Caenorhabditis elegans: one gene and its partner. The protein of the gene in region 2 purifies or fractionates together with the protein of the main gene of each other region. This does not show direct contact. Each region holds a gene or a part of one and is shown on either strand. Other genes may lie near its edges.

Region 1 (3,931 bases), on a different chromosome or scaffold from region 2:
ATTGATATGTGTTTCTCCTAAAAATTAAAATCTTCTGTGAAAATATTTAGAAACTACAGGGTAAACAATAATTTTTGGAAACTTCTTCTTTCATGTGAGAAGTTATTTTAAACTTTCGAAATAAAGTATTCAGTAGAATAATTTTGTTTGTTTTCAGAAATATTATGTATAAAATTCTTGTCAAAATGTTGAAACATTATAAAACTTCTTTCGTGTTCGAAAGTATTTTAAATATTTCATTAATAAAATTATAAAGATTGATTTATTTGTTACAATCACTAAGTTTATCACAATGAGTTTTTATAGTTTAGTTCTGCCATCTAGAACATTAATAAAATTTTCAATTTTAAAAAGGAACAAATATTGACATTAAAAAAGAGGTTTGAATATTTTTAATCGGATGCTCCGTGAACATATTCGATTTTTAAACTAGCGTACCGTTTGCAAGTTTTTATTTAATAAAAAACTTTTTTTTGAGAAATATTATTAGGATCAGTTTTTTATGCACTCCACGTACGTTTTTTTTTTCAGAATGTCATTGTTTTAACCCCAATTACGTTATATATACTTCACAACTGAATGGAAAATGAAACCAATATATTTTTATCAAAATTAATTAAAATTCTGAAAGTTCAACAACTTCTGTTATAATGCGATTAGTTCTAGACGTTACACACTTTTTTCTAATATGTATATTATTTGAACGAGTGCAAATGATTTTTTTTCCAATCTAATTCTCAAACACTAACCGAAGTTGTCACATATCGGCGTTCCTACTTTCTCACACTCCTTTTTGTCGCAGCAGGTGCCGTTGTAAAAGAAAAGAAGATCTGTGAAAATAAGTCATTAATCGTAACATAGGGGTCATATCTAAAAAACAAAGAGTACCTTCGTTTGTGCGTTGAACACATCGCAAAAAGCACAAGTTGTTGTAAGTAACGTTGTCGGTCCCGCAAACAGGACGAATCACGCTAGGACAGTCGCAATCCGGTGGTGGCGAGAATCCTGTAAAAAGCAAAATTAGCATTTTCTCTTGCATGTATTTTCACTCATAAACATCATATCTGTCATTCAACACATTACTCTAGCCATTAGCCACCAAAAGGAATAAAAAGAAGACATCCGGATAAAGATGTTCACACTTGTCTCATCTTTGACTTCTTCTTCATATCTATCACACGTTTTTCTGTGCTAGACCTGTTGAACAGAAAAATAACCTTCAAAAAGAATATCAGAAAGTGGTAAGAACACACAAGTAGGTAAATGGATGTAGGAAACGAGGAAGGAAGTAAGACTTTTGTAAGGAAAAAGATAAATGAACTAACTAAGATAATTTTTAAAAAATTTTTATTCGTGGCCAATTGTTAATTATGTATACCTTTTTGATTCTCTTCTTCTTCACACCTGCTATCAATAACAATTATTAGGAGAAATAAGATAGAAAGAAACACGTTTCTACGGATAAGCATGCTGGTTGGCGGTGTTCCACATGAAGACGATTGAGGGAGATGATCAGTGATTAAGAACCCAATGGGATAAATCACAAAAACAGATGTGTGAAACCGTATGGAAGTACTTCTTAAGACACGGAAGGATTCCGTAGACTTTGCAAACAAGGGGTAACGTCAAATGCGGGCGCCGTCACTGGAGGCCGTCAACTTGCGAAAAGGCAAGTTCTCTTTACTCATCGTCAGTAACTCCTCCCATCATTTTTTTTTGGTCTTACGTCGAGAAAATGAGAGGTTGACGGGTGCGTAAAAGGGAAAGGATAGCAACGAGCTTTAATTGAAAGATCGAACAGCTGATTCGATGGGATTACACTAGCTACGGAAATTTTGAAAAGTGACACTTAAGATGATAATTTGTTAGTTGAACTTGCTACAGATCCATATCAGCTTCCGTTGCGGTGTAAGTGTGATAACGATGCGAATTTAATGAAACAACTTGATGCCCATTGTAAATGTGTAAAAATATTATGTGTGGTCTCAACAAGCTTTGCAAAGTTGTTCAGAAAATCAAAAACTGATAATCACTATGATATCAGCATTGCTATGCTTTATTGGAAGCATAGGTACTTTTGGGCTCAACTAAGGTGAAGTAGCGTCAGTAGAGAAGTTATCGAAGCTTACTACAATGGTGTTAAAATTAGAAAATATTATAGTAAAAGTTCTCAAAAGCGTTTAAAACATTGTTTTTTTGTAGTCGAAAAGCGACGCAAACACGTTTTTGACTGAAAATATTTTAAAAATGTGGAAAAAACAATTGGAAATGATTTTGTTCACATTTCTAAACCATTTATGTTTAAACACTGTGGGGGACTGTGCTTTTCTTTTTACAAAGGTTGGTACAAACTCATTCTTTGTCGTTTTTGTCTGTTAATATAAACATTTCAAAATGATTTGACCAGTTTTAGTACGATATTCGATACTTTCGGCTCTACAGGAGTAGTTTTAGCCAAAAATCCAATTTTTCAATCATTTGTTATGCTTGTTACGCTATTACCGTATTTCCTCTATTAGTCTTGCACCCCTATGTGACGATTGAAAATTATTTTCGCATGCAAGACTAATAGAGGAAATACGGTATGTTATTCAAGAGTTCAAAACTATTTTAATCGGAAGATTAGTTTAAAGAAACGAGCAACTGTATTCAGTACAGTTTAAGTGCAATCTTCAAAACAGTTCATTAACGTTCAGTTAAGTTAAGTTCATTGAGTTCCGGAACATAATCCTCGTTATCATAGTAAGATTTAAATTTTCTTTTACTCATCTCAATAGTTTCACAGACGACACTCACTTGACCTGATGAAATCACTATTACTGATTCAGAAATAATTGAAAAATTGCATTTGCAGATATTTAGTGCCAGCAGTAATGTAATCATTTTCGAACATGGGTGTGTTCATATGTAGTTGAAGGTACACAAATTATATCTTATAAACAAAGATATTTGATTCTTTCCATGGTGCGGTTGATGTTAGTCGGCCTGAGCGGAAAATATTTAGTTTTAGCCAAATAATTTTTAAATATTTTTAGACAATGTTTCTAATAAGCATTTTTTTACAAAATTGTTTCAAAACATTGCTACAAAATTTGACTTGAGTTCCATTTTGGGTGTGTACTCCTTACGTAAATTAATTTGTTGGCAATTTTAAATTGATAGGTCTGATAAGAAATTGAATCATATCAGGAAACTACATATTTCCAACGAGTCGGTATGCGATCAAAAGCGAACTATCATAATTGCACAAACATATCGAGGAACACTGTGATTATGCAAATTTTAGTATAAAACACAAAGAAATATAAAACAATCTTTTTCATAACATTCTTTCTCTGCCCTACACTATTTAATACTTTCTACAAAATTTTTGAAATTTATAAAAAAACAACTACAATCTGTTCAAAAGTCAATTAAAATGCTACGATCTCAAAAAATCATCTAAGTATGCACGAAGAGCGTTTAGAATTATTACAACCAAGTTTATATATTAACCGAATTAGTACAACATATTAACCACATAGCATTCGTTTTGATACATATCCATGACAAATCTGCATTTCAGGGTTTCCGAGATCGATCTGATTACTTGAAAACTGAACCGTTTTTAAAATCACAAGCAACAAGTAAACATTCCCAACAATGATAATAGTCTAATTCAAAGTAAAACGTAAAGCCAGTAGACCGAACTACACTGTTGTTATTTCCAAACAGACTTAATGTTTTAAGCCAAATATTTTCATTCATTTCATTGTTGTAAATGTTGCTTTGAGCAATAATATCTAAAGGTGAAGTAAATTCCCACGTTTACTTTTGCTCATAATCTTTATTCATTCGAATAATATTCAGAATTATCAAAAAACCATCGTTATACACGCCTGTCGTCGTGGTGCCATGTGCAATCACTTGATAACCATATTAGTTCTTGAAG
Region 2 (3,931 bases):
CTTTCGTAAGAGTAACAAATCGGTCTTCCGTTTCCAAGAGACGTTCTTTAAGCTCTTTGTTTTGTGCCACTGCGCGGGATACGGTCGCTTTTTCGTTCTGTAAATTCGAAAATTTGAAAAATCAGGGAAAAATATTGAAAATTGTAAATCTACCTGTAGTTGCTCTGAAAGAGACAACAAATCAGCTCCGTTTGCAGTTGACTCTAACGTTCGTTCTTCCAAAAGTCGATATTTCATTTCAAGTTCTGCCAATGACTGTTCTCTTTCGAAAATAACTTTGTCTTTTTCTAGAATTTCTTCTTCTCTGCGTTTCTGATCATCCTCACTTCTTCGTTCCCACTTCCCTCTTTCAACGAAACACGCTTCACGAATCCGTCTTGCTACATCTTCTTCTGTGATAGTTGGAATTTCATCATGCCTCTCAGAAACATCCATATTCATTTGAAGCTTCTGCAGTTCAGATTGAGCAATTTCGAGTTGATTTTCGAGATGTTCAACTTGATCGTTTGAAGAAAATTTTTGATTATGCAAATGCTCGATTTCTAAAGCCATCTCTGCTTGCTTTTGTTGAAGTGCATACTCTCGATCAGCATAGTGAGCTTTTAATGTCGCAGATTCGACGAGAAGACGTGATTTTTCAGCTTTAACGTTCTCCAGCTCACGTTGCAAGTTTTCATAATTCGTATTCTCATTCGGAATCCCTCCCGGCGGTCCTGTGGCTCCAAGTTGTTTCAAATAAAGATCTTTCATTTGAATGTCTTTCATGAGCTGACTGATGCGATTTTCTTGAGCCGCCGTTTCTTTTATCATACTTTTCACACGTGCTTGTGCTTCACTTCTCTCGTGTTGAACATTTAGCAGGTTAGCTTGCATTGATGCAACTTCTCGTCGAGCTCCTTCTAGCTCTTGATGACGTGCAGTTAATAGGGAATCTTTTTGTGCAATTGCTTCATTGAGTTTTCGAATTTCGTTTGACGAAAGTCCAGATGATGTTGAATTGCTCATTTGGTTGGCAATGTTCTCTGCAGCAGCCAGCTTGTGTCGAAGTTTTTCGATTTGCTTGTTTGCCTGACGAAGATCACTTTGAGACGAAACTTTCTCTTCAACCATTGCAGACAATGCCTGAATACTCCATCATTAAATTAAAATAAATAAAACGAGTAATCCTTACATTTTGGAGTTGGACAATTTGATTTTCTGTATCCACATGTATTCCATTTGCATTGACTTGTGAATAAGCGGAATGAAGTTGGGAGTAATGGGCACACTAAAATGATTTTTTTTTTAATAAAATCATTATTCATATAATTAACGAATTAGTTTTTGTATTTGTCAATTTCTCATTATCCTTACCAATTCGTCATGCTGGGTCTTCAATTGTGTATATGCCTGATACCATTCGTTTCCGTTCGGTTGAAATGGTGAAGCCTGAAGAAAACATTTACTCATTTAACGATGTTATCGATTTTCTCACATCCAATCCATTTCTTGCATTCAAACTTTGTGCAGAAGAAGATGAGTGTGGAATTTGAAGCGCTGTCGAATCTTCACTGACAACGCTGCTCCGTCCATTTAAACCTGCTCCAGCACCCGGCTCTGATGAAATGATACTTGATGCAGGAGAATTACGTCCATCGAGTCTTTGACGTGCTTCAAAGTCTTTCAGCTGTAAAATTTACTCTATAAACTTTGTTTTAATAAAGTTTCCTCACGATTCTCACCTTTTTCCTGGCCGCTGCCAGCATTTCAGCTTTGGCAGGTGCAGCGGCATCGACCATATCACTGATTAATCCAGCTTTACGCCGAAAAACAGTAAAATCTATCGATTTTAAAAGCTGAAAATGAAAAAAGACGTGGAAATTAGTGGTTGGACGCAAACACCGCAATTGACGACATAGCGCAGACAACAAAGCGAGTTCGCAATGAAAGCAGCAGAAATTCACACAAAAAAGAAAAAATAATAGGTTTATGTACAAATAACTAACGAAACTTTGGAAATAAATGCTAAAAAACAACCGAGCAAATTAGAAAACTGGAGGCTTGTGATCAGATGAGACAGGCGAATCGGTTTGCCCCTTGGTGAGCCAGGCAAGAGGTTCTCGTGTGAACGTGCGGTATGCTTCTAGAATTAAGTAGTTGAAGATAACATTTTAATTGAGAATATCAACTCACTAGCCCACTTTGAATCAGGATTGATCTCATCTTGGAAGTAGGCATAAGAAAATATCAGCATGCCTACTCCAAATGCGATTAGGGAGTTCTGGAAAATACTTAATTCGTTTTTAAAATTGATTATCAAAATAGACCTCTCTAAAAGAAAGCTTCTTTCCTCCTTTAGGTAACTGATTTTCCGTGATTTCCTTCCATTCGGCCTGCCCGTCTTTTCTTCTGATTAAAACACGCAAAATCCGAGTCAATCTCATCTGGAACAAAATCTGTTTTATTTTCTGCCTTTTTATTTGTTTTAAAAATTGGAAACGAAAAGGACAAAGCGAGAAGTCAAAGTCTTCCAGTAATTTGATATTTTAGAAGGAATTGAATTGGTCATGGAATTCCGGAAGGGGACAAAATATTTTTAAACGGACATAGGAAATGGGGAATTTTATGAAGCAAAATATATGTTATATAATCGAATGTATTAAATTTGAAAAAAATGTGAAGAAAATTAATAAAAAAATACTAGGAAAAAAAATATCTTCAAAAATTTTTGATGAAAACGCGCCCCATTGGCACTTACTAGAGACACAATACGCAGGAAAACGAAATTTATGAGTACATAGAAGTGAATATTGGAAAATGTTCTTCAAAACTTTTCATGACAGTGTTAAACTGAAAATTAAAAAGAATGGTGATCATAGTAGCAACGAATTCATATGAGATATATGTAAAATATTTAAAAATGAAGGATAAATGAGGAATATATAATTCCCGAGTGTGGAGGGGTACTGTAGGAGAACATAAACAAGCCTATTATCTCTGTATACTGTAAAGCATTAGAATACACAAGCAAATTTGAAGATTATATTTTGGTTATTCGCTCAGTTTTTAAAAATATTTGGAAAAACACTGATACGAGTTTCCGAAATTTTTGAAGACCAATTGTTCAGTACCTAGAAACCTTTCGGAAAAATAATCAATGTCATTACTGTAGTTCTCTGAAAAAATGTGTTATCTGAAACTGTCACTTGCATATAAAATACGACCTTCCTCCAAATCACGCTCTGAGCACAATCGATCTTTCTACTCCAGCTGTGTACATGGACGGACATAAAGGACAGCCGTCAGTGTCACTTCCGCGCCACTTTTTTCAAATGTTTTATGCAAGTTTTTGGTTTAGTTTTGTTTCGAATTTATTCCCAATTGAATTGAATTCGTGACTGCAGAAGAAAATCGAATCGAATCTCCTTTTTAGCGACTCGGATATACCCTGAATTTTTTTTGGAGTACTGTACTATAAACTTTCTCTCCACTTCAGCAATATTTATAATATCCTATAGGAGAACGGCTACTTTCTCGGAACAAAAATATTTCTACAAAACTATTTTTTAATTTTTGCGCAAATGAATTAAGAATTCTCCTTTGGCGGCTGCGGTTATATATTAATTCCAAACTTGTATAGAAAACACACGAAGTGAGGTAAAACCTATTATTATTCAGTTTTTCACTCAAAAATACAGTCCTTGATCTTGCTACGACCGAAATATGTCCGTCGAGTACACGGTAAAGTAGTTTGCGCCTCTAAGGAGTACAGTAACCAACTATGGGTTACTGTAAGACTTATAGGCGCATACATTTTTAACAGATTCAATTTGAGAACATTTAAATAGTTCGTGGCGAGGCCAAATATCGTAATCTTCGTAAAAATCGGTAAAATTCACGGATTCATATTGGCTAATGTGGTAATTTCAATTATTCAAGAAACTTTCTAAAT

The links.
Region 1: the proteins of golg-2 (region 2) and F29G6.1 fractionate together in Caenorhabditis elegans (co-fractionation; one large-scale study listed by BioGRID). This does not show direct contact.

What each region holds. Positions count from the first base shown.
Region 1 is NC_003284.9:11,500,000-11,503,930, reverse strand, and holds the start of F29G6.1 (Kazal-like domain-containing protein), read right to left. Parts: upstream 1,665-3,931; 5' UTR 1,470-1,664; coding exon 1,379-1,469; intron 1,006-1,378; coding exon 889-1,005; intron 831-888; coding exon 750-830; intron 18-749; coding exon 1-17.
Region 2 is NC_003280.10:5,038,257-5,042,187, forward strand, and holds the start of golg-2 (Golgin subfamily A conserved domain-containing protein), read right to left. Parts: upstream 1,836-3,931; 5' UTR 1,779-1,835; coding exon 1,722-1,778; intron 1,667-1,721; coding exon 1,475-1,666; intron 1,429-1,474; coding exon 1,354-1,428; intron 1,268-1,353; coding exon 1,172-1,267; intron 1,123-1,171; coding exon 154-1,122; intron 98-153; coding exon 1-97. Other genes in the region: F33G12.7 (uncharacterized protein), read right to left, coding at 2,025-2,122, 2,173-2,260, 2,307-2,423.